Saccharomyces cerevisiae S288C: one gene and its partners. The protein of the gene in region 3 binds, or shares a complex with, the protein of the main gene of each other region. Each region holds a gene or a part of one and is shown on either strand. Other genes may lie near its edges. A codon is read from its position in the direction of its gene.

Evidence for each region.
Region 1: SSL1 (region 3) and SSL2 share a complex: the UniProt entries of both Saccharomyces cerevisiae proteins name them as parts of the 7-subunit TFIIH core complex.
Region 2: SSL1 (region 3) and TFB5 share a complex: the UniProt entries of both Saccharomyces cerevisiae proteins name them as parts of the 7-subunit TFIIH core complex.
Region 4: the proteins of SSL1 (region 3) and TFB4 are in contact, whole or in part, in a cryo-EM structure (PDB 7K01), measured with the Saccharomyces cerevisiae proteins. Residues at the interface, in NP_013105.1 of Saccharomyces cerevisiae: Tyr118 (codon at 4,359), Gln119 (codon at 4,362), Arg120 (codon at 4,365), Ile122 (codon at 4,371), Phe317 (codon at 4,956), Thr318 (codon at 4,959), Leu319 (codon at 4,962), Val320 (codon at 4,965), Lys321 (codon at 4,968), Met322 (codon at 4,971), Gly323 (codon at 4,974), Phe324 (codon at 4,977), Pro325 (codon at 4,980), Thr326 (codon at 4,983), Pro350 (codon at 5,055), Asn351 (codon at 5,058), Leu372 (codon at 5,121), Ser373 (codon at 5,124), Thr374 (codon at 5,127), Leu376 (codon at 5,133), Ala377 (codon at 5,136), Arg378 (codon at 5,139), Ser379 (codon at 5,142), Tyr380 (codon at 5,145), His381 (codon at 5,148), Leu383 (codon at 5,154), Phe404 (codon at 5,217), Ser405 (codon at 5,220), Cys406 (codon at 5,223), Gln407 (codon at 5,226); in NP_015381.1 of Saccharomyces cerevisiae: Tyr85 (codon at 3,532), Pro88 (codon at 3,523), Glu89 (codon at 3,520), Ser90 (codon at 3,517), Thr148 (codon at 3,343), Gly151 (codon at 3,334), Ser154 (codon at 3,325), Ala155 (codon at 3,322), Leu157 (codon at 3,316), Thr158 (codon at 3,313), Tyr159 (codon at 3,310), Asn161 (codon at 3,304), Arg162 (codon at 3,301), Tyr193 (codon at 3,208), Ile194 (codon at 3,205), Pro195 (codon at 3,202), Met197 (codon at 3,196), Asn198 (codon at 3,193), Phe201 (codon at 3,184), Ser202 (codon at 3,181), Met206 (codon at 3,169), Asp271 (codon at 2,974), Phe272 (codon at 2,971), Arg273 (codon at 2,968), Val283 (codon at 2,938), Ala284 (codon at 2,935), Val285 (codon at 2,932), Gly286 (codon at 2,929), Phe287 (codon at 2,926), Ile288 (codon at 2,923).

The regions. Positions count from the first base shown.
Region 1 is NC_001141.2:80,010-89,804, reverse strand, and holds SSL2 (TFIIH/NER complex ATPase/helicase subunit SSL2), read left to right. Parts: upstream 1-6,763; coding exon 6,764-9,295; downstream 9,296-9,795. Other genes in the region: tropomyosin TPM2, read left to right, coding at 90-575; REV7 (Rev7p), read left to right, coding at 1,089-1,826; AXL2 (Axl2p), read right to left, coding at 1,968-4,439; chaperonin-containing T-complex subunit CCT2, read right to left, coding at 4,920-6,503; kinetochore-associated Ndc80 complex subunit NDC80, read right to left, coding at 9,656-9,795. UniProt on the Saccharomyces cerevisiae protein: ATP-dependent DNA translocase. Component of the general transcription and DNA repair factor IIH (TFIIH) core complex. When complexed to CDK-activating kinase (CAK), involved in RNA transcription by RNA polymerase II.
Region 2 is NC_001136.10:602,955-605,432, forward strand, and holds TFB5 (TFIIH complex subunit TFB5), read right to left. Parts: upstream 858-2,478; coding exon 639-857; downstream 1-638. Other genes in the region: PET100 (Pet100p), read left to right, coding at 110-445; VPS41 (Vps41p), read left to right, coding at 1,054-2,478. UniProt on the Saccharomyces cerevisiae protein: Component of the general transcription and DNA repair factor IIH (TFIIH) core complex, which is involved in general and transcription-coupled nucleotide excision repair (NER) of damaged DNA and, when complexed to TFIIK, in RNA transcription by RNA polymerase II.
Region 3 is NC_001144.5:156,042-164,276, forward strand, and holds SSL1 (TFIIH/NER complex subunit SSL1), read left to right. Parts: upstream 1-4,007; coding exon 4,008-5,393; downstream 5,394-8,235. Other genes in the region: NOC3 (Noc3p), read right to left, coding at 1-293; CMS1 (Cms1p), read right to left, coding at 814-1,689; THI73 (Thi73p), read right to left, coding at 1,893-3,464; mitogen-activated protein kinase kinase kinase SSK1, read right to left, coding at 5,714-7,852. UniProt on the Saccharomyces cerevisiae protein: Component of the general transcription and DNA repair factor IIH (TFIIH) core complex, which is involved in general and transcription-coupled nucleotide excision repair (NER) of damaged DNA and, when complexed to TFIIK, in RNA transcription by RNA polymerase II.
Region 4 is NC_001148.4:669,469-674,909, reverse strand, and holds TFB4 (TFIIH/NER complex subunit TFB4), read right to left. Parts: upstream 3,785-5,441; coding exon 2,768-3,784; downstream 1-2,767. Other genes in the region: chorismate mutase ARO7, read left to right, coding at 1-49; YMC1 (organic acid transporter), read right to left, coding at 236-1,159; BRR1 (Brr1p), read right to left, coding at 1,414-2,439; exocyst subunit SEC8, read right to left, coding at 4,037-5,441. UniProt on the Saccharomyces cerevisiae protein: Component of the general transcription and DNA repair factor IIH (TFIIH) core complex, which is involved in general and transcription-coupled nucleotide excision repair (NER) of damaged DNA and, when complexed to TFIIK, in RNA transcription by RNA polymerase II.

The DNA of each region.
Region 1 (9,795 bases), on a different chromosome or scaffold from region 3:
GGTATAAAAGAATGTAAACATAAGGAATATTAATCTAGTAATTTTTTTCTCATGAGGTTGAGAAAGCATCTAAAATAGCAATTAGCAAAATGGAGAAGATCAAAGAGAAATTGAATAGCTTAAAATTAGAATCTGAGTCATGGCAAGAAAAATATGAGGAGCTGAGAGAACAGCTCAAAGAATTAGAGCAATCTAACACTGAAAAAGAAAACGAGATTAAATCTTTGTCCGCTAAAAACGAGCAACTCGACAGTGAAGTGGAGAAGTTAGAGAGTCAATTGTCTGATACAAAGCAATTGGCTGAAGACTCCAATAACTTGAGATCTAATAATGAGAACTACACCAAGAAAAACCAGGATCTAGAACAACAGCTAGAAGACAGTGAAGCCAAACTGAAGGAAGCAATGGATAAACTGAAAGAGGCCGATTTGAACTCTGAGCAAATGGGTAGAAGGATCGTTGCTTTGGAAGAAGAAAGAGATGAATGGGAAAAGAAGTGCGAAGAATTCCAAAGCAAATATGAAGAAGCTCAAAAAGAATTGGACGAAATTGCTAATTCATTGGAAAATTTATGATTCCCATTGATAAGACTAAAATTACGGAAGATACAAACGACAAACGCGCTAAAGGCAACGGAGGTGATGATTTTATTATTGCTCACACAACTGATGTTGCTGACAGATGGCAAATCCTTTTCATTTTAGTTATTATCATTGGGTGCTTTTTGGAAAAAAGATGAACTAAGCCTCTCTTTATTTCGTCCATTTTATTCTAGCTTTTACATTATGCTTTCACCTTTACCAAAAAATAGTATGTATTTCTTTTCCCCTTGCTATAAATCAAAAGTACGTAGAAACATAAACAGGCGAGAAATACATATGCATATACGTCTACACTACTAATTTAATTTCCACTTTCTTAATATCAGTCAATCGAAACCACTAGCTTTCACACTAAGACTAGACCCTGTTTAACTAATATAAACTTTTCCAGAAAGCTAAAAAAAAGGTCGGAAAAAGAAGGTATACGTTTTTGCGACGACTGAGATCCAAGAAGAAAAAAAAAATAGTAATCGTTGCGTCAGCTTTATGAATAGATGGGTAGAGAAGTGGCTGAGGGTATACTTAAAATGCTACATTAATTTGATTTTATTTTATAGAAATGTATACCCACCTCAGTCATTCGACTACACTACTTACCAGTCATTCAACTTGCCGCAGTTCGTTCCCATTAATAGGCATCCTGCTTTAATTGACTATATAGAAGAACTTATACTGGATGTTCTTTCTAAATTAACGCACGTTTACAGATTTTCCATCTGCATTATTAATAAAAAGAACGATTTATGCATTGAAAAATACGTTTTAGATTTTAGTGAATTACAACATGTGGATAAAGACGATCAGATCATTACGGAAACTGAAGTGTTCGACGAATTCCGATCTTCCTTAAATAGTTTGATTATGCATTTGGAGAAATTACCTAAAGTCAACGATGACACAATAACATTTGAAGCAGTTATTAATGCGATCGAATTGGAACTAGGACATAAGTTGGACAGAAACAGGAGGGTCGATAGTTTGGAGGAAAAAGCAGAAATTGAAAGGGATTCAAACTGGGTTAAATGTCAAGAAGATGAAAATTTACCAGACAATAATGGTTTTCAACCTCCTAAAATAAAACTCACTTCTTTAGTCGGTTCTGACGTGGGGCCTTTGATTATTCATCAGTTTAGTGAAAAATTAATCAGCGGTGACGACAAAATTTTGAATGGAGTGTATTCTCAATATGAAGAGGGCGAGAGCATTTTTGGATCTTTGTTTTAAGTGCAAAAATGAAATTTGAAGAATGGAATTAAAATTAAATGTCTCTAAGTATAAAAACTAAATAAAATATAGGGTATCTGTAAACCACTAATAAAAAATAAAACAGGAAAATAAAATTAAGCAAAATATCGTTGCGTATAATCACAGCATTTCTGGGATGCGTCCGTGAATGTCCTTAACTTGACCAACATTGACATTACTCTTATTTGAAAAATCTACTAACCTTTTCTTACTTGGTCTTCTGTCTGGTTCCATGCTATGGACCCAGCAAAAATTTTCACCATCTTTAACCGGAACAAAATCGTCAGAAGATGAAGTTGACATTGTTGTGGGAGTGATTCCGTTTTTACCGCTTTGAGAGTCTTGAATATTTTGTAAGTGGCGGTTACGATGCTTCGTTACGTTATATGGTGATGGTGTTACTGATTTTCTTACGGGAGAAGGGCTAATATTGCTGTTCCAAGGGTCCAGTGAAGACATAGTGACATCCCTTGACGTACGTTTTTCCTTCTCTGGTGCTTCTAAATCGAAAAGTTTTTCTGTATCAACAGTTTTTTGTGATCCGTAACTGTCTCTGACAATATCAGAGACTGGTGACAGGTTGCCAGTATATCGCCAGGATTTATTTACTGCTGGTTCACTATCCATATACACAGAAGAAGACCTATTCTGTGGGTCAAAGAACGGGCTCTCTGGAGGCTGTACTGGGGGTTTTGCTAATAATTCTTCTTTACTTTGGGATTGGAACTGATCATTGTATGTATTCATACCTGATAGAGAATCTCTCTTTTCATCCACGCTGGAAATATCAGATTCAGTGGCAGAGTGGTTATCCAATTTCAAAGTGTTCAAAGCAGCCAATCTTCTTGCTATTGAAGTATCATCGTACGAGGAAGCATCATCATCAAAGGGGTTGTTCAAAGGTGTAGCGTTTTCTTGATTTGGTTTATTTGCAGGATTATTCAAATCAGGTCCACTAATAGCATGCGGTAAGTTTTCATCGTCTGGATTTTCCCTTCTGCGTCTCCAGAATATTAGGAAGCAAATGAGAGCTACTAGGATAACGCCTAATGGGATAGCAACACCGCACGCAATTGCTACTGCTTTTTTATTGTGAGATGAAGTTTTATTGGCTGCTGGCAGCGCTGCTGGAGCAGAAGAAGTAGCAGCAGCGGAGGTAGAAGAAATTTTTGCAGTGTAAGTAGAAGATGTGTAAGAACTTGTTGAGGTGGAGTGGTGAGAACTTCTTGTGGACGTTGCATTCGCACTGTGGTTTGAGTGAGTTATCTTTGAATCCATGCCAATGATGTTAAAATATAGCTCTTGAGATTGTGAACCTTGGTTCGCTTTCAAACCTAATGAAAGCTTGTCGAAATTCTTGGGCACTTCTCCAGCTAATGTTAAATTAGATGATTGGAATTTCACCCAGTCATGGTCTTGGCTTGAATTAGTAAACTCTAATGAAACGTTTGTATTCACGTAGTCTGTAAACTGAGAAGGCAAAAAATAGTAGGAGAACCATTCACCCCTTGTAGCGTTAATATTGGGAAGAGAACTAATGGCAAACAAATCCGTTGTGGAGACAACTTCGAAGTTGAAATAAATCACATCACCATAAGTATCATAAATGGACACAGAAAAATTGGCAGGATTGGAGTTCTTACCGAGTAATTCATCTGGGACAGACCCGGAAATGGTAGCATTATCTAATGCCACCCAGTCTGGAGCATCCAATAAGTTTATAGAACCCAATTTATCAGAAGAAATAGGATCGTCATCGAGATAAACATAGTTTAGAGGTAAGTCATATGAAACGTTACCTGTGTCAGTAACGTTGATTATCAAACTATTTTGAATAGAGGTAGTTAACTGGTGAGCCCCGATGACTAATTCGAATTCTACCTCAACGGCAGAAAATCCTTCAATGTCTGTAGCGATGATGACAAAACTGTAGCTTGTTTCTGGAGCAATCGCCGAGTTTATCACCGGTGCCGTCCCAGTAAACTTCAACTCGCCAGAATCGAAGAACAGCCAATTGGGTAACGGCGCATTATACAACTGAGAACGTCCGTAATACGACACAATGGATTCTTCGTTAGTGAACATTGAACGGTCAAAAGTCACGTTGAAGACTTCATTAGGATCTAGTTTCAGAGCGTTTTTGCCGTTAGTATAACCATAGTTTTTTAACAACGCCAATAGATTGAAATCTGACGATAGCGAGATGGATGGACGGTTTGTAACAACAAATTGGTATGTATTGTTCAAAGACGTGCTGTCGGCAGAGTCCGTACCCTCGAGTATTACATTGAAATACAACGTGGTGTTCGCATCAGATAGTAAGTCAGAAGAAGGTTCACCTGAGAACGTTCTAGAACTAGAGTCAAACGAAAGCCAGCTCGGTAAGTCGAAGCAATTGTATGTTATTTGAGCTGTCTTGTCTACAGACGATTTATAGGTATCATTGGAAATTTGAAATGTAAACGATTCATTGACTCTTGCCACTGGGGGGTATTGTTTTCCGATAGGATATGCCTCATAGGGCGTGGCCACTACTAGATGGAGTAGTGATATAGTAGCTGTCAGCAATAATGAAATCTGAAGCTGTGTCATGGTAAGTGAATGCTTCTTGATATACGTAGATGTTGGAAGCAGGAAATCGTTTCGAGGAAGATATAATTTTTCTATTAAGTAATTGTTCTGTTCTTCTAGTGATGGTGGCTGTTGCAGTGTCAATCACTACAGGATGTGAGAGTAAAGAATAAGAAAATAAGTTCTCATATGAAAAGTGAAAATTACTCGACAAAGGAGGGCGACTCTCGGCAAGGAGCTTTGAGGTTGTGGAGATGCTATCTTTAACCATACCTACGATGGGTATTATTACATTCTTGAGACAGGGCTCGAGTACTGCTCGAAGAGGAAACATAAGTTGCCAAAATTTATTTGTGACGCGAATTGCCAAAAGTTCTATGACGCGTTGTTCTTTTTTTTTCGCGTCTTTGAATTATATAGTGGATAATTTTTGCGTTCTGTTTCTAATTATAATAATGACAGTGTGGCGGTTTATTATTTTCGAGGTATATCCTAAATATGTTACATATGTTGTCTATTGGCGGTTCTTGGTCTTGCACGGATGATGTTATCCACCCTTAGTAGAACTTCAGCGGCTTCAGATGCAGAGCTGACTACTGCTCGTTTTAGCTTGTAACTCTCGACGATACCTAACTGTCTCATGTCGGCAATGGTTCCGTTGTTGAGATCTAAACCTGAGGTGGAGATACCGTTGTATATGGAGGATCTTAGTTTGGACACAAGTTCGCTGCTGTCAAAACCAGCATTATCTGCCAAAATGGTTGGCAGTTGTCTCAGAGCACGGGCAAAAGCCTCCACGGCAAGGGACTTCTTTCCGTCGATGTTTTGAGCTTCGGTGTCCACAGCTTTTGACATGACCATCTCGGCGCAACCGCCGCCAAGAACAGTTCTTGTTTCCTTTGTGGTCTGTGACAACACGGACAATGCGTCATGCAGGGATCTCTCAGCTTCATCAAGCGTTTGGTCGGTAGCACCTCTTAGGACGATGGTACAAGCTTCACCAGCTTTGCAACCACTAAACTTCAAGAATGGCTGTTCACCAAGCATAATTTCCTCGATCACGTCACATTCTCCCAGTTTGCATTTACTTGGCTCGTCAAATGTAGACACCACCTCACCGCCTGTAACCAGGGCGAGCCTTTCTACACCTTCAAAATCAGCATGCTCAATTGAGTTTATGCCCAAATCTGTAAATAATTGCTCTGGATAGTCATAAATTAGTTGTCTATTGATGAAAGTGTTGATACCAAACTTGGAAATCTTGGCAATTTTATTCTTCATCTTTTCACGTTCTGCCTTTTCTAGTTGTGCCAATTTAGCAGTAGAATCGACTTTGAATTTGGTGCCGAATATTTTGACCTTGTCTGTATCCAAAGTTGTATTGGCGATTAGAATCTTAGCATTTTCAATTCTCTTGGGTTGGTTGTTACCAAATTTTTTGGCAAGAATGAAACCTTCGTCAAGGAACGAATCTGATAGCTTTCCACCAAGAATCTTAATGATCTGAATATGTTCTAAGTTAGTGGAGCCCTTCAATCTCAAAATAGCATTAGTTGCTAATTCTGCGAAGTGATCCTTATCCTGAGACAAAATTTTGGAAGATAAAGTAGTCTTGGCAATATGGATCAGATCTTCACGGAACATGGTCTTATCATGAGAGTTGTCAACAGCCGCTTTCGTTAACGCATCCAATGCGGCTGCTGAAGCTAGTCGGTAACCTTCAATAATAGTTTGAGGGTGGATTTTGGATTGATCAATCAACTTCTCTGCTTCTCTAAGCAACTCTGCGCTCAAAACAGTAACACTAGTGGTACCATCTCCAACTTCGTCATCCTGCACCTTACTGATGTTCACCAACACTTTGGCTGCGGGATTATCCAGCGGAATTGACTTCAGAATCGTAGCACCATCGTTTGTTACCATGCAAGTGTTACTGGACGCACTTTGCAATAATTTATCCATCCCTTTTGGGCCTAATGTGCTTTTCACCAAATCACCCACGGCAATGGCACCGACAAACGCCGACAAACGGGCGTTTTCCGCTCTTTCTTCTGTAACCTGGTCTCCAAATATCTGTACACTCATCCTGAATCTTTTGAGCTTTGTACGACTGACTCTTCTTGCCTATTTAATGGCCACCTTTCATCCTCTTTTTTATTGCTCTGCTCTTGTCTTTTAAACTCGCCACCGCGAAGAGAAAAAAATTTCAGATCGTTAGAAACGAGGTTTTTCTTCTAAGAAGTATAAGGAAAAAGGTCCTTAGTAAGGATAGATAATAGTAATGATATCTACATTATTTAGTAAAAGTAGCATCTACTGACGTTGGAATCAGTGGAAGATAAATCATGACGGACGTTGAAGGCTACCAACCTAAGAGCAAGGGGAAAATCTTTCCAGATATGGGTGAGTCCTTTTTCTCATCAGATGAGGATTCACCAGCTACTGATGCAGAGATCGATGAGAACTATGATGATAACAGGGAAACGTCAGAAGGACGTGGAGAAAGGGATACCGGCGCCATGGTAACAGGGTTGAAGAAGCCTCGGAAAAAGACCAAGAGTAGCAGGCATACAGCGGCGGATTCCTCTATGAATCAAATGGACGCTAAGGATAAAGCGCTTTTGCAGGACACTAATAGCGATATACCAGCAGATTTCGTTCCAGATTCCGTCTCTGGAATGTTCAGAAGCCATGACTTTAGTTATTTGCGGTTAAGACCAGACCATGCTTCCAGGCCCCTTTGGATCTCGCCAAGTGACGGTAGGATCATTCTGGAGAGTTTCTCTCCATTAGCAGAACAGGCTCAGGACTTTCTGGTCACCATTGCAGAGCCTATAAGTAGACCCTCCCATATTCATGAATACAAGATCACAGCATACTCTTTGTATGCAGCTGTTTCTGTAGGGTTGGAGACGGATGATATCATTTCAGTTCTGGATAGATTATCCAAAGTACCCGTTGCTGAATCGATAATCAACTTCATTAAAGGGGCTACCATTTCATACGGTAAAGTGAAACTAGTTATTAAGCATAATAGATATTTCGTGGAGACTACACAAGCAGATATTCTGCAAATGTTGCTGAATGATTCCGTCATCGGGCCCCTAAGAATAGATAGCGATCATCAAGTACAGCCACCAGAGGATGTACTACAGCAACAACTTCAGCAAACCGCTGGAAAACCCGCTACTAATGTTAATCCGAACGATGTGGAAGCCGTGTTTAGTGCAGTTATAGGTGGTGATAATGAGCGGGAAGAAGAAGATGATGATATTGATGCCGTTCACTCCTTTGAAATTGCCAATGAGTCTGTTGAAGTCGTAAAGAAAAGATGTCAAGAAATCGATTATCCCGTGTTGGAAGAATACGACTTTAGAAACGACCATAGAAACCCGGATTTAGATATTGATTTGAAACCTTCCACTCAAATCAGACCCTATCAAGAAAAATCGCTGAGTAAAATGTTTGGTAATGGGCGTGCTCGTTCAGGGATTATTGTTTTGCCATGTGGCGCAGGTAAAACTTTGGTCGGTATTACCGCAGCATGTACTATAAAAAAATCCGTAATTGTTTTATGTACTTCATCAGTCTCCGTCATGCAATGGAGGCAGCAATTTTTACAATGGTGTACCTTACAACCTGAAAATTGTGCTGTTTTCACCTCTGATAATAAGGAAATGTTCCAGACAGAATCCGGTTTGGTTGTTTCCACTTATTCAATGGTGGCAAACACAAGAAACAGGTCTCATGATTCACAAAAAGTTATGGATTTCTTGACCGGTAGGGAATGGGGGTTCATTATTCTTGACGAAGTTCATGTGGTGCCCGCCGCAATGTTCCGTAGGGTGGTCTCCACCATCGCAGCACACGCCAAATTGGGACTGACCGCAACGCTGGTTAGAGAAGATGATAAAATTGGTGATCTGAATTTTTTAATTGGTCCAAAACTTTATGAAGCAAATTGGATGGAATTATCCCAAAAAGGACATATTGCAAATGTCCAATGTGCAGAGGTTTGGTGTCCCATGACAGCAGAATTTTACCAAGAGTATTTAAGAGAAACTGCAAGGAAAAGAATGCTACTGTATATCATGAATCCAACAAAGTTTCAGGCATGCCAATTCTTAATTCAATATCACGAAAGGAGGGGTGATAAGATCATCGTTTTTTCAGATAATGTTTACGCCTTACAAGAATATGCTTTGAAAATGGGAAAACCATTTATTTATGGTTCCACACCACAACAAGAGCGTATGAACATTCTGCAAAATTTCCAGTACAATGACCAAATCAATACCATATTTCTATCAAAAGTTGGTGATACTTCCATCGATTTACCAGAAGCTACCTGTTTAATTCAAATATCTTCGCACTATGGGTCTCGTCGTCAAGAAGCCCAAAGATTAGGAAGAATTTTAAGAGCTAAAAGACGTAATGACGAAGGTTTCAATGCGTTCTTTTATTCTCTGGTTTCTAAGGATACGCAAGAAATGTACTACTCAACAAAGAGACAAGCGTTTTTGGTAGATCAAGGTTACGCATTCAAAGTCATTACACATTTACACGGAATGGAGAACATTCCAAATTTGGCATATGCTTCACCCAGAGAACGTAGAGAGCTATTGCAAGAAGTATTATTGAAGAACGAAGAAGCTGCTGGTATCGAGGTCGGTGATGACGCTGACAATTCTGTTGGGAGAGGTTCAAATGGCCACAAAAGATTTAAATCAAAGGCCGTTAGAGGTGAAGGTTCATTGTCTGGTCTTGCTGGCGGTGAAGATATGGCATATATGGAATACAGTACCAATAAAAACAAAGAACTGAAGGAACATCATCCATTAATCAGAAAGATGTATTATAAGAATTTGAAGAAGTGAATAGGCTTGGTTTCATTGTCACCTTCCTATTTTGAATCTATTCAGTCATAATACCTTTTTGTTCCCACCGTCTTCTTATTCTTTCGTCGCTGTTCTTTCTTTTATTGATTCGTCACGTCCATTTTCTTCCATAATATAAAAAATAAAAAAAAAATAGAACATTCCTAATTAAAGCATCCAAATATACTTACATATATTTATTTTAAAAATAACTACATATCAATACTTACTTAAATTGGTTTGGAATACTTGAGAAGGGGAGTGAGGGTGGAATTGAACAAAATGCAGGTTATTAAAATGCGGAAAGGTGGGGCTGAGCTTTGCTGTAGATTGCTCGGGTATTATATATCATTTATTTTATTAATTTGTTACGTTATGTTCAGTTTCAAACTCCAAATTTCGTAACTCTTCAATGACGTTTCCTAATTCGTTTTCAGAGTTTTCCAATGACGATTGAATATTAATTTTAAATTTACTTGTTATATCAATAACATGTATCA
Region 2 (2,478 bases), on a different chromosome or scaffold from region 3:
TTTTTTCCCGTATAATTCCAATATATCAGCGCATCTTGCTGATATTTTCTGTTCTATAACAATTTAATAAGGGCTGACAAACAAAAGTAATCACTTCGACAAGTACAAAATGGGTCTATTTAATAACTTCAAGTTTAAATATACAAGGGCGCAACTGGAGATCTTTAGATTTTCATTTTGTTTGCTAGCACCTGTTGCTGTAATGTACTATATTGGTACAGATACTGATAAAAAATTAAATGTTCCAGGGTTTTGGCCAGATCCTGCAACGTTGAACCAAATACCAAAAGAGCCTTATGAGATTAAAGCTGAACTGGCAAGGATGAAAAAAGAACGTTTAGAGAAAAGGCTTAGGTTGGAGAAAAAGATACAAGAGGAGTTTGGTTTAGACCTTGAGGAGGAAAAAGAAAAAATTAAACGGGATTTGGCTCTCAAAAAAGGATGAGAAAAGAAAACGGTTAAAGATGTATACTTGCACCTGACCACTTTTTCTTCCTTATATTTATTATTCTAACATGTACATACCTGTATAGTCGTATTTCCACTAGATCATCACTTCCCCTCTATATTCATGTCTGACCTGGTTATGCAGGTCATGCTCTATTCAAATAGTATTGAAAAAGCTGAATGAGCAATAATTACTGATTTTCTTCTTCATCCATAGGATTATATATATTCTTAGATAATAGCCTATTTAGCTCATGCTTAACAAATTCGACTTTCGAGGGATTTACTAAAAGATGGGTGTCATCCAACTCCTCTAGTACTATATCACTCATCTTGGCGTCAATTTGTAATATGAGCGCCTTGATGGATGGATCACATTGAACCAGTGCACCCTTTCTTGCTCTAGCCATTTTTTCGTTCTTTTACAAAAGTATCTTGGCTTTGTCTCTATTGGGAGTACACTTCTATCTTACTGCAGTTTGCTCGTCTTTTTTCAATAATACGATACAAAAGAAAAATTAAAAGGGCTATTGAGACTGTTGTAAAATATATATGCAAAATAAAAAAGCATTTTAACGAAGAGTATATACCTACTATTAGACATTAATGACTACAGATAATCATCAGAATGATTCTGTTTTGGATCAACAATCAGGCGAACGAACAATTGATGAGAGTAATTCCATCTCTGACGAGAATAATGTTGATAATAAGAGGGAAGACGTTAATGTAACTTCACCAACAAAAAGTGTTAGTTGCATATCACAAGCGGAAAATGGAGTAGCTTCTCGAACAGATGAGAGTACAATAACAGGAAGTGCGACGGATGCAGAAACAGGTGATGATGATGATGATGATGATGATGACGATGATGAAGATGAGGATGACGAAGATGAGCCCCCCTTATTGAAGTACACACGAATTAGTCAACTCCCGAAGAACTTTTTTCAACGAGACTCGATCTCTTCATGTTTATTTGGTGATACTTTTTTTGCATTTGGTACACACTCAGGCATTCTACACTTAACTACATGCGCGTTCGAACCCATTAAAACCATCAAATGCCATAGATCTTCGATACTTTGTATTAACACTGACGGAAAATATTTTGCTACGGGATCTATTGACGGGACAGTGATTATCGGATCGATGGATGATCCACAAAACATTACACAATACGATTTCAAAAGACCTATAAACTCTGTAGCGTTGCACTCAAATTTTCAAGCATCCAGAATGTTTGTTTCTGGTGGAATGGCTGGCGACGTTGTACTATCTCAGAGAAATTGGCTAGGAAATAGAATCGACATCGTTTTAAACAAGAAGAAAAAGAAAAAAACAAGAAAAGATGACCTATCCTCTGATATGAAGGGCCCTATCATGGGAATTTATACTATGGGTGACCTTATATTATGGATGGATGATGATGGAATAACATTTTGCGATGTTCCTACAAGATCACAGCTTTTGAATATTCCATTCCCCTCCAGAATTTTTAACGTACAGGATGTAAGGCCAGATCTATTTAGACCCCATGTTCATTTTTTAGAAAGTGATCGTGTCGTTATCGGATGGGGATCTAATATTTGGCTATTTAAAGTTTCCTTTACCAAGGATTCAAATTCGATCAAATCCGGTGACTCTAATTCTCAAAGTAATAATATGAGTCATTTTAACCCTACGACAAACATCGGATCTCTCTTGTCTAGTGCTGCATCGAGTTTTAGAGGGACACCTGATAAGAAAGTTGAATTAGAATGCCATTTTACTGTGTCAATGTTGATTACAGGGCTTGCATCGTTTAAGGATGATCAGTTATTATGCCTAGGTTTTGATATAGATATTGAAGAGGAAGCAACCATAGATGAAGATATGAAGGAGGGGAAGAATTTTAGCAAGCGGCCAGAAAACTTATTAGCCAAAGGGAATGCTCCAGAATTAAAAATTGTTGATCTTTTTAATGGTGATGAAATCTATAATGATGAAGTTATCATGAAAAACTATGAAAAATTGTCTATAAATGATTATCAC
Region 3 (8,235 bases):
TCGTCCTTTGGTTTTTCTTGGGCTTTATGCAATTTTCTTTCAACTTTACCGTTAACTTTTATAGGCAGGCCTTCAACAAGATTTGATGTATCAGACCGATTCTTCCGAGGAACCATTTCGTAATCCTGTTCTTCTTCATCCCAGGATGAGCCTTTTGCGCTATATATGGTATTTTCATCCATATCTTCCGGTGCATTTTGGAAAACATTGCCTTCTAACAAGGAATCTTCGTGCTTTCTTTTCTTTGCAGTCCTTTCCTGAATGCGAAATTGAGATCTATTTCTCTTAGCCATTATTACTATGATATCTCCAGCTTTTATCCCGGAATTATACTCTTATGATTGAAGACATAAAATGCCAAGTTTATACCATGAAAATACTATATATGGCAGGCAGGTGAATGAGATGAGATAAAATTTTCAGTTTTCGGGCATCGCTGAAAAAATTCAAAAACTAAAGTAAAACGACGTCCCATGGTCTACTCTACGGTGAAGAAAATGAGGGAAGACATTGAATTTCTGAATCTAAGTAACTACAAAAAAGCATACACTCCATGGAAAGAGTAAAATAGGATAAATTGGTTTTATGTAGTTAAAGAAAAAATACATTGTTATATATGGAGTTTGCTGCGCGCCTAGGCGTTCTCGAAGTTTCTCCTTTGATTTTACTTTTTGGAAGGGCTTTGGACAATTTAAAGAAGATAATTTGAAGTACCCCATCAAATGCTAGAATGAAATATTTAATATACTAAATTAAGGCTGGTATTTAAAAACGTAATCTTATGTGTAGAACCTCAGTGAAAAAGCGCTATTATTAATATAACAGTATTTTCACGGAGCTTTTTTTATTCAAAAAGGTTTTCAAGACTTGGCAGAGGACGGCTGCATTCTCGAATGATAATATAGTATTATCCTTAGGATCTAAATAACTTGCATCAAGAATGATATCTAACTTTTCCTTACCTTGGAAAAGTAAGTCAGTAGCTTCTATAATTTTCTGCATTCTTGTTGGAGTGGCAATAAAATATAGTGAATCTTTATTTTTGTTTGATTTTTTAGAGCTGTCAGTAAGTAAACGTTCCACGGTGGCTATGTCATCCTTTAGTTTACTTTTAGAGAATAATTTGACGCAATTTTTGCCACCGTTTAGACTACGATAAACGTCTGCTACTCTAATATTAGACATAGAAAAAACAATTTTTTTTGGAGCTACGGAAAATTTTTGAATAAAGGCTGGGAAATTGCTTAATCTGCGTTCAGCGTCAAATTTTTCTGTCGAAAGAAAATCATTTCTTTTGAAGTAAAGTTCCTCTAATTCTAAAACACTCAAGTCAGGATTTTTTTCTCGTATCAAAGTTGTTAGGTACTCAATAATTTTTTCTGGTGAACTTGCTGGAAGTGCTTTTCGTTGTGAGACGATATACTGGCTTTCCTCTTTCTTTTTCTCAATTAGCTTTGATTTTTTCTGTAGCTTTTTCTGTCTTTTCGAAATAGGTCTATTCGAATCATCTTCTGAATTTCTCTCCTCTTTTTTCCCATCTATATCATCAACGTCATCGTCATCTTGTTCTATAGACCTCTTTTGTACCTTTTTGGTTGGGGGACTACCATCCTTGGCGTCAAAAATTACTTCATGTTCGGCATCAAAATCATAGGCGAGTCCATCATCTAAATCATCTGGATTAGACATTTTCAGCTCAATTGTCCTGACGATATGTTTAGAAGTTAGTAGCGGGGATCAAATTTCGACTTTCATTGCCTCATCCATGGTCATCTCAAAAATTTTCTCTTCAATTTTTTGGTAAATACCAAGTGCAATGAATGTTTGGGTGTCTTTGAATATTGAATATTACAGACTAAAAATATTATATATTGTAAATTAAAAGTTGATTATTAGTAAATGTACCTGAAATTTCTGTTTTCGATATCAGTCAAGTCCAAAAATTGGTACTTCTTCCTTTCTTGACCTTCTTGTTCCTTATCACGCTTTTCGTTCTCCTTCTTGCAAATGTAGCCAATGTATAATTGTAGGGGAACACAAACACACTGAGTGACCAATAAGGCAATCTTTGCTGGTATGTAACGTGGAGCAGAGTATGCCCTAAACATCTGTGGAGCAATAATACAGGAGACATTGTATACAATCATTGTAATAGCATTTCTAAAAACTCTTTTGGTGTAACCGGAGGTGTTGCATGAATTCCAGATGTAAATATTGGTAATGACACAGGAACCACTGTAAAGCAAGTACAGAGAAAATAAGTTACCGATCTTATGGGATAAGGGTAAACTGATAAGAACGATACAACCTATAATAGCTGGAATATACATAGATGTGGTTATGAGTGTGATATGACCCCAGCGGGACAACATTTGAGTTGTTATAAGAATAATCATAGCCGTAATGGCACCAATAGGCAACTGCAGTAATGCTGTTTCGTACTTGTCGAAACCAAAAGTACCAGTGATGGTCACTGAAAATGTACCAATGGCACCAGTAGAAATTTGAGAACATGCAGTTAATAAAAGCATCGGCCAAGTAAACTTATCATGAAGGAATAGTTCTTTAACTTGCTGCTTCTTAAACTTCTTTGTTTCCAGGCCAGTTTGGTTAGCTCTGATATGCTCAACAACTTGAATTTTTTCCTCTTTGTTTAGGAACCAAGCATTGGTGACGTTATCTGGAAGGTATAAGAATGTTAGAACACCAAACGCAACTGTAACCAGACCAACGACCAAAAACATTATTTGCCAAGAGGTGAAAGCGGTACCATGATAATGTAAAAAGCCAAAAGAAATTAACCCGCCCACAATATAACCTGTACCAGCCTGTGTGGCCCAGAATCCAATTCTTGCACTCTGTTCAGATTTAGTATAGTACATACCACTAATAGCGATACAACCAACTGCACTCGAGGATTCAAAGAGACCTAGGAGAGTACGAACGACCATCAACGAGGCGTACGTCTTACAAGCAGCATGGCAAGCCAACACGATACCCCAGACGGTAATAAAAGTACCTAGGATTTTGGAAATGGGGAATTTTTGAATTAAGTAAGTGACCACAGGTTCCATGAAAATGTAAGCAGCAGAAAAGATAGTACCCAAATTAGAAAATTCGTTACCTTTCAAATGATCTTTGATACCCATAGATGCAGCGTAGTTCAGCAGAGCCTTATCCAAAAACATCAGAAGATATGTACAGCATAAAAAGGGCAGGATGAAGAGGTCAACTTTTCTCAGGACCTTAGGAGATAATTCATGGGAACCATAGAAGTTGGCTTCTTCGCCTGCTACAACATCGTCTTCATTAGCCGTGGAGCTTTCGTCGAGACCGTTCTGTTTCAGGAATCTTAAAGCAACGTCCGCATCGTCTACATTAATGCTCGAGGTACTTACGGAACAACTATCAGCGTTAGCTGCCTTCTTCTCCACGTCCATGGATCGTTGTGACATGTTTTTCATTGTATTGATTTGCTGACACTCTCACTACTTCTCAGCAACAACAAAGTAAACTTTAATCTATCATACTTTGAACTATCTTATATACGTGTATATATGCACCCGCTGAGATGCTCATCGAGATTGCTCATCACCTCTGAAAAGGCTGTCTGTCACCACCATGTTTTCCGCCGGACCAAATGACAGTTCCTTAAGGGAAACTCAAAGAGACTATATTAACTAAGGAGGATCAACCAGATATGCAAAAAAAACAAATAGTTATGACGGCACTCGAACCAACCAAACACCACCCTATAATTAATGTTGATAATGATAGCGACTCGAAATTTGCCAATAAAACCTGTCTATTACGCGTCATCTACTTGAGAGTAATATACTGGAAGTTCGAGATACTCCGCACAGGGTCTGGGTGGTAGGTTTCTTTGCTATTGTATAGTTTTTCAAGATACGTAAAAGGTCTTCATCTTATCTTATATAGATGCAGGTGATTACTAGTGGGGCAAGTCGGCAGCTAATTGCGTGTGTGCGGAAGGATTGTGCAGTAGAATGGCTCCTGTAGTTATTTCAGAATCTGAAGAGGATGAGGATAGAGTTGCCATTACTAGAAGAACTAAGAGACAAGTTCATTTTGATGGCGAGGGAGATGATCGTGTAGACCAACAGCAACAGCAGCACAGTTCAAGCCACAGGGATAGGGATAAACATGTGCAGCGTAAGAAGAAGAAAAGGCTCTCGAATAGAAACCTGCAAGGTTCAAATGGTGGGTACGCTTGGGAGGATGAGATCAAGAGAAGTTGGGATTTGGTGAAAGTGGACGATGAAGGGGATATGGCATCTCTTGTGGCTAGCATAGTCGAGGCCAGAAAGAAACGTACTGCTAAGAAAAACATAACGCCATACCAAAGAGGTATTATCAGAAGTTTAATATTAACACTAGATTGTAGTGAAGCTATGTTGGAAAAGGATTTGAGACCAAACAGGCATGCCATGATTATCCAGTACGCCATAGATTTTGTCCATGAATTTTTCGACCAAAATCCGATATCTCAAATGGGTATTATCATAATGAGAAACGGTTTGGCACAACTGGTCAGCCAAGTTAGCGGAAACCCGCAGGATCACATTGATGCGTTGAAATCCATCAGGAAACAAGAACCGAAAGGAAACCCTTCATTGCAAAATGCATTGGAAATGGCAAGAGGCCTTTTATTGCCTGTTCCTGCGCATTGTACAAGGGAAGTACTGATTGTATTTGGTAGTCTTTCCACAACTGATCCTGGAGATATTCACCAAACTATCGATTCGTTAGTTTCTGAGAAAATTAGAGTGAAGGTTTTGGGGTTATCAGCTCAAGTGGCCATATGTAAAGAATTATGCAAGGCAACGAATTATGGTGATGAATCCTTCTATAAAATTTTACTCGATGAAACTCACTTAAAGGAGCTATTTAACGAGGCTGTTACCCCTTTACCCGTTAACAAAATTAATAAGGGTTTCACACTCGTAAAGATGGGGTTTCCGACAAGGATATTCGAAGATACTCCAACTTTTTGTTCGTGCCATTCCAAGTTAGTTTACGGCGGATACTTCTGTCCCAATTGTCATAGTAAAGTTTGTTCATTGCCCACAGTCTGTCCATGTTGTGACTTGATGCTAATCCTTTCTACCCACCTGGCCAGATCATATCACCATCTGATGCCGTTAAAAACATTTGCAGAAGTACCTACAACAGAAAAATTTCGATCAGAAGACTGCTTTAGTTGCCAGTCAAGATTTCCCATACTGAAAAACCATAAAAATGGTAAACTACTGACAAGTTCTCGCTATCGTTGTGAAGATTGTAAACAAGAATTTTGTGTTGACTGCGATGTGTTCATCCATGAAATCCTTCATAACTGCCCAGGCTGTGAATCCAAGCCCGTAATAACTTAACGAAAATCTGTCAGCGTATAACACGATCACTCTTCCATCATATAACAAATCCAAGTAGTAGAGAACGAAATAGTTTTTGATGGACATATAACTACATAATTATTACAAAAATAACCTCATTTAATGTCCTATTGTTTATTACGAGAAAATCTTAATAGCACTTACGGCATTAAGAATATTTATTACTATTTTCAATTTATCAGGCACTTATTCAACTAAAAAAAAAAAAAAAATTCTTTGTTTTACAATAATATTAATAATTATTTTGAATAAATATCGTTACATTCTATCATAATGTCCTCTACACGGTACAACCAAACTCACAATTCTATTTGAGTGGGCGAGAGGTTTGAATTTTTTCTTACTGGGCTGTGTGTAGGGGTCATAGATGTCGCTTGTTTGAATGAGTGAGGGTTGGAAGGTGCAATAGGTTTCTGTGGAGATTTAACCAAAACACTGTCGGTCATCCGGCTTTCTCCCTGCTTCCAGCTGTCAAAATCAATCAAGGCTTGCATACATCCCCACTCTGTAATTTTCTTACTAAGCCAGTGTAAATTCACTGGTTTAGTCAGGTAGTCGTTACAACCAGAAAGAAGTGCTTTTCTTTTATCCATCTGAGAGTTAGATGCGGTCAATGCTACAATAATCACGGGCGCCTGAGAGAATCTCTTTGAAGTACCTTTTTCAAGATTGGAGTGTGAGTTATTGAGACTTTTTTGAATGCCAATGCCATTTTGTTTTTCGAAGTCCCTAATCTGCTTGGCAGCTTCTATACCAGACAAGACAGGCAGCTGTAAATCCATAAATATTAAATGAAGACCGCCTTCCTTCCAAATATTAACAGCTTCTTGACCATTTTTAGCCAGTTTATATGAGATTTTGTGTTTCCTCAGAAAGGAACCTAAGATAGCTTGGTTGATGACGTTGTCTTCAACTATTAAAACATTAATTTTGGGGAAAACTTTTTCACTTGTGGTGGTAAAAAGGTTTGGTAAAGGATCTGGTGGAGAGGAAACAGCAAAAGGTGCGTTATAAAGCGAGTTTGAGTAATGCGGCGTTTGACTACTTGTTAATATTGGTGATGCGGGCGTAACGTCTTCTTTTCTTCTTTGTACTTCCGACATGGGTTGCGTTATGCCTATACCAGCTTCATTAAGTGATCCGCTTTCTTGCGAAGGGGATCCGGTGTTCACTTCTAACTCTGAATGAGTAATTGTGTCTTCATTATTGAAAGATGAATCCGTGTGGGCCACTGGTTTATTTCGAAAATCTACCCCTCCTTTATAACCTTTTGGTAACAGCAAGATTGCTTGCCAAGGAGACTCGGCATCCTTTTCCTCATCCTTCAGTTCTTGTGACGCTCTTCTCAATTGCTCTTCATCAGTTATTAATTTAAATTCCTGAGGGCTGCTATTGCCATCTTTACCTTTAAGATCTGCTTTATCACCAATTGTTTGCTTAAGACCTTGTTCGCCCGGAGAAATATGGTCGTCTAGATGAAAAACACCAACGGCCCCATGGTCTGTTGGTTGAGTTTTCTGCTGCGAAATTTCTTCATTCGTAGGAACATAGTCTACAACATTTAAGATATCTAAAGGCGGTACATCCTGGCGTAAATTAACATTCGAAAATATCAGCAAAGGCTGCGATGCAGGTTGGGAACCCATGGTTCCGAATAGTTCCTTATATATGTTAATAGCCAATTCATCCGGTTCAAAGATGATTTTATAAGTGCAATCATTAACTGATTCTGTGGTAAAATTTAAACCTTTTCTAATCAACGGCCTTGTGTATTTATTTTTATTATGCGGTGAGACGTATGTAAGACCAGCTGATGCCATAATTTGATTATCAGAATGAAATTTAGGGTAGGGTGAGACTGAGGCAAATCGCAGTAACGGACTTTTAGTTGTTGCTGGAAACTGTTTAGGACTAGTAGAGTATGGTCTTTGCGGGCTTAGCATTGGCGCCTCGTTGGGAGGAAAATCCACATTGGTAGTCGCGGCCACTGTCGGCACGGCGGCAAAGGCGTCGTATAATGCTCCTCTTTTCTGCGTAGGTTTAGGATGCTGGAGAACATTCCTGTCCTTTGCAAGGTCTTTTGAAAGACCAAATGATCCTGCTGTGGGGCTCACTGAACTCTTGGTATTGCTATTAACGGAAAGGTTGGCGCCACTTCCAGCACCGTTACTCTTACTTCGACAACTATTATCGTTAGTGTTGTTACTACTGGTATTGTCGGCTTGATTGTCAAATTTAGGTGCGTAGAGGCCTATTGCAATGGAAGCATTATCGTTAATTTCTCGCCATCGAGTCGAACTCAGTTTCTGAAAAAACCTGCTCTTCAAATCATCAACAGTATCTATTTCATCGAACTGTACAGCAATTGGTTGGTTTACTTCATCAGTGGAGTTGTCTATTCGTAGCCAAACCTTCCACAGTAACGCAGAATTGAGCATTTTTACTTGTCTCCCCAAAATCGATTCGTTTTTGATTTACAGCAGCCTTTCCAATATTTCTTATACAAAACGGCCGAACTTGTACTCAAAATAAACGCTATTCTGAGGTCTAAAACTAACAAAACACGTAATTTTTCTGAATAAAACAATGTCTCCAACTAGTTAACCACAGCTTGGCTAGTTTCAATGTAGTCATTCCTAACAAAAAGGCAACCAGACCTATTTATAAATATATAGCCACTATTAAATTCACTAGAAAAAAAGTCAAAGATTCAATCCAGGGGCGCTTTTAGGGCTTCGGAAAGCTGAAAAAAATAGTTAGGACACTGATATCAATAATATAGGGAATTTGAATTATTGGAAAATGGAAATTAGGTTAAGGG
Region 4 (5,441 bases), on a different chromosome or scaffold from region 3:
CACTAAGGAAGTTGAGGTGGAATACTTGCTAAGAAGGTTGGAAGAGTAAGCATGAAGGCTATCACGGTAACAATTCCACATTGCCGAGTGATTACTACGCATATATAAACACACACACTCACCATATATATGTACGCATAGTAGCATCTATTGAATATAAGAAGATAGAGTTTCAAGTTATACATTATATTGTACTATTTTCTTAAACGATGGCTCATAAATTCTATAGGAATTATCAACCCAATAACCTCATCGCTAATTCAAAAGTAGCAAAAGTGGCACCATTGGCGGGAGCAGCTCTTAGCATGGTAGGACCAAACCCTTTGAAAAAAGCGCCTATCCCTCCATTGGCATATAAAGTCTTGGCTACACTGGAAATAGAATTACCAAATTTAGGCTTTTGTAAATTATCCGTTTGCATGACAGACTTGATGACATCTAATGGATATACCATCAACCATAAGGCAGTGCCAGACAATGCTCCAAAAATACAAAGTTTCCATGCAGGAATGTCCTTTCTCTCTAGTCCACGTCTTTTGTTCATTTGGTTAGCAATCAACGCTTCATACACTAAGAAATATGTGCCACATCCATGACCTTCTCTCAATATTGTAGGTGTTAAACCACGTAGCAAGGCCTTGTTATGTCTTAATTTTTTGATGCATTCCAAAGGACCCTTGAATTCTGCGTTGGTGCCTGAGCCAGTCTGTGTTTGCAAGCGAATCCTGACATGCTCAATTGGGGACGCCAAGAATGAGTTTACTATACCGCCTGTGACACCACATGCGTAATACTGTGGCAATGACAAAGTCGATGACATATCAGCATTGCGATGATGAAAAAATCTCTTCATAGCTTCATTAACACCAAATTGTAATGAAACACATGCACCAACACCAATTAATGGCGTCAGAGTTCCTTTGTAAAACCCGCGAGGCCCTTCATTGGCAAGCAGCTTTCTGACGACTTCCATGGCTGTTGTTGGGGTGCTCGATGTTTGTAACCTAACTTTTGTCGTATCAAAGGGCTGGCCCACTAGCACTTGCGCAATACCACCCGCTGTACCTGCAAGCAAATCTTTCACGACTCGAGCATTATCATGCTGTGGATGTTCTTCCAAATCATCGATTAGTTGAGGAGATGGAAATTCTTCAGACATACTTCTTCGTGATGCGAATTTGATTGACGAGAAACCTAAACAAGAGAGCTGCGTTGGAGTATAGATGATAGTTGTTATTAGCTTATTGACATTGATTGATGCTATAGCATGGCTACATCATCGCTGACAATTTGCGCTCGAGTTTTCTTAGGGCGCCGCTTATCTTCGGCCTATCAGTAAATGTAAGAATGAGTCAATCAAAGTAATAACACTTTTTACTTCCTGTAAAAAACTACATAAGAAATTTATTTACATTATTCTATCAAGTCTTTTTGACCATAGTTCACTGCTATAACAGACACTGTCAGCTCAGTTATCGTCATATTCTCCACCGCGGCTGGTATCTCAACATTCAATTCCGCCATCTCCTTCGGGAGTGTTATTTTATTCTCATGTGCTTCAACTGGCTTCTTTTGAATCAGTTCAAGGCATTTCTTTCCAAGATCTCTCAAGATGCTTGTATATTCTGCCGTGACTCTTTCGGGTGTATGTACCAGTATGTAGAATAGCCAATCTTGCAGCCGACGATAATGCCTTCCTTTCTTGTGTATTTCTTTTATCCATGTATTCGACATATACTTGATCAGAACCCAAAGTTGCTTAGAGGTAATCTTTTCATGAAAAGTAGTATGCTGCGGTTCATTGTTTATAAGGTATTGGAACCACTGGTTGTATCCAACTAGTTCATGTTTATCTCCTTCAGTGATTACTTTTTTTACATCCTCAACACTGTCAATCTTGGTTTTTTCCAGCCGTACCAAAATATTCTTCGCCCATTCCTCATCAATCTGAAGATTTTCTTCCTTCTCTTCTGCCTTCTCAGGAAAGGAATGCTGATTTAGGACACTTATAATTTTTTCAACTGTAGTACATTTGCTGGGCATATCTTCGAGATAATTCTTTAAGAAAAGCAATAAAAGATCCAGTGTTTCGTCCTCATAACCGGTAAACTCGTAGGCATTAGTCAACACCGTCGCCTTCACAGAGTTAAACCACCTTACCCATATTTCTACATTCCTTTGAAGCCTAATCAAGGATGGCGAGATGGCGTGCCTTTTAAGGGCCCCCTCATCCTCATCATCGTACATGCTTGATTTGTGACGCGTCCTCTTTTGCAGATTCATATGATTCTTAATCGATATGGCGTTGGTTCTTAGTGCTTCTTGCCTAACACTTTTAAGATATTCAATGACATCAGGATTCACTGAAGAATCAGATAGTGCAAATGCACGAGATTGACCAAAGATGGCATCAGGCGCCTGGCTTTCTCCTCTTTTCATTGTTTATCACCTAATGTTTCTGTTATGATGGATGTTGGCAATGTTATTGTATGATACATTATCCAAAGCGAACTAATAAATCTACCGAAGCAACAACAGCGATGCACCCAGACAGTACATAGATAGTTATATTATCAAATTCGATATGATTGAAGTCAAAACAGTTCAAAGATGACACAACGTCTTAAGCTAATCACATCAAAAGCTTTTTTTTTTCTGTGGAATGTCCAATATACATGTGCTTAAAGCTAATTTTTTTTTATGTATTATTACGATGCATTGTGACGAAGGTTACCTGCTTGAAACGGATAATGTTCATTCCTTTCGTTCATGGTTTCGTCACCTTCTTTTTGGCTTTCAACCTTGGAACAACTGGTTTCCTCTTCAACTTGGCAATTACGTGCTCATCAAATTGAGAATCACAAGCAGGACATTTATTTCCGGGCGGTATGATTGATAAGACACATAGGCAAACTGAACAGATGAATCCAACGGCAACAACTCTCCCTGTTAAATAGCATGATGTCCTAAAATCTACAGATCCATGGTTTGGCTTAACAATTATAGGTCTTAACGACGGATCAATAAACATTGCAGTTGCTAAATATTGAATTAGCCCTTCTGTAGATTCAACATGTAAATAAACGCCATTTGTGGCATCCGTCGTTTGCTGTAAAAACGTGCTTTCCTTAGAACCACCAATCTTTACGACATCAATGGGACATTTCATTTTTGTTGCGGAAAAAATACAGTTCATTATAGGGATGTATTGGAAAATTTCATCTTTACTACTGCCACTCCCGCACGTAAGAACAAGTAGCCTTGATTTTAATGAGGTAGTTACTGACTCTTTTGATATTCTGTTTACATAAGTCAGCCCAGCTGACATGGCACCTGCTAGCGTGCTCCTTTGACTATTTTGTTCGATTTGTTTCTTTTCTAACTCAAATAGTTTATATATTTCTTCCACTAGCGTCTCATCAACGTTTCTAAAACGTCTATACATATCTGAGTTAATAATCTTAAGATCACTACGGGTTTTATTTTCAGATTCAGAGGCTTTTAGAGCAGATGTGCTCTCTGGGTATAAATATTTGATTCCCTGAGAGTATGCAGCAATGACTGCTACTTTGTTGGCGCTATTGAACGCTAAGTGAGCATTGAGAAATACTATCAATGCCTCTAAAACCTTTATTATACTTCCTTTCTCATTTCCTTCCTCATCAAAAGTTGTCCATAACTTTGGTGCAATTTCTATAATAACGGTAAGCAAAGATGGTGATTCTTCAGTAACCTGTTTTCTTGATCTAGCATGCTTAAACGTTGGATCAGATATTGCATCCATTTCTGATTGCTTCGCTTCAGTATATTTTATTGGATCGTGTATATTTCTACTCAAGTGTTGATTGATGTTGTAATGTTCCTTCAGGTATCTTTGAATTTCAACAGAACAAGACGAGCTGCGCGCTGAAAATAAAATAAAAGTGCAAGTGAAAAATATTGTAAAAATAAGGTAATTAAAAATATAGTTATTCGCTTATTATTGATCATTTTCATTCATTTATTTATCAAATTAATTTTACACAAACTAAAAATGTCATTTTTCGTTTGCAGTATGGACAGCATTCAATTTGCTTTTAAGTTTTCCAATCTTGGTGCGGGCTCCTTCTTTCGACTGCTCTTTTTCGAGGTTACTTAGTTTCTCCAAAGCTTCAGTGTACCTCTTATTGGAAGGTTTTATGGAACCCTTAGTTGAGCTAGTGCTTTGTCTCTTCAATTGACGATGCATTTCCTCGCTAAACTGCAGCCTCAATATGGTTTTCAAATCTTCGACAGAACAATGCGGTAATTCATTGTCTTTTATATATTCAAATAGTTCAGCTTCACTGGAGCCGCATAAAGAGTAAAAATTCATTGTGACGTTCATATTAATTTTTGATGGTTCAGAAGAAAGATTTCTATAGGCATGTTGTAAGACATTTACATTTCTCAACATTTTCTTTATCCCGTTATGGTTCAAAACTTTTATGGATTTGGCACCCTTAATCAAGGCGTAGTTGTTGACTATATCAAGACCAATAAATATGGAGTTTTTTTCCTTTTCTGGTAACTGTTGTTTCAATTTGCTTTCAGTCCTTCTTAATTCGGAAATTAGAGAAGCTATATTTTGATCTAATTCAATACTACCCACATCCATATTCCAAATTTTGGTGTTTTGAAAAAAAGACCCGATGTCGTATATACACAAGGCCCTAATGTTGAACCTCAGTATAGTGATTAGTTTGAATTTCAAGGTTTTGAATCCGTCGATAGTCTCATCAAATTTTTTGGAGGCTTTATCATCCAATAAAATTTTTAGATTTCCTAATGAATTTGGGCTGGAACTAGGGTTCGAATAGTTTAAATCCATTGATTCAGAAAATGTCCAGCTGCTCCTTAATCTATCAGCATCTAACATGGGTTCTTGGCTTACTTCATCAATATTGATAGCCTTTTTTAAGCCTGGCAGCCAGTTTAATATCCATAACACGCTTGCCGAAAACTGCAGAATTGTGTCCAATGTCAAGTTATTGAATAAATCAGATTTGCTCAAACCTTTACCCGCTTGATAGAAATGAGGTATTTCCTTAAATAACTCTATGGATTCTTCATGAAAGAGTGTCTCATCCCCATTCAGAATTTTTTGTTCTTGATCCATCAAAATACCATTCTGCAACCATGCCGTAATTATTTTCCTAGTTAAATGTCTATCAGAAGTACCAATCAAGGAATTAAATAGCCCCAAGTAGTAATTATAAAAATGATTCAAAAGATCTAGAATGCAGTACGATATTTTTTCTCTAAATGTGTTTGCTGTGTTGAAAACATTCAATAAATTGTAAAATAACCTTTGAAAATCTAATGCTGTTTTAAAAATGTTATGATTTTCATCGGATAGCTCTAAGGCGTACGGATTATTGGATTCTACTTCAACCGTGAATAAATAATCCATAGTCATCTGA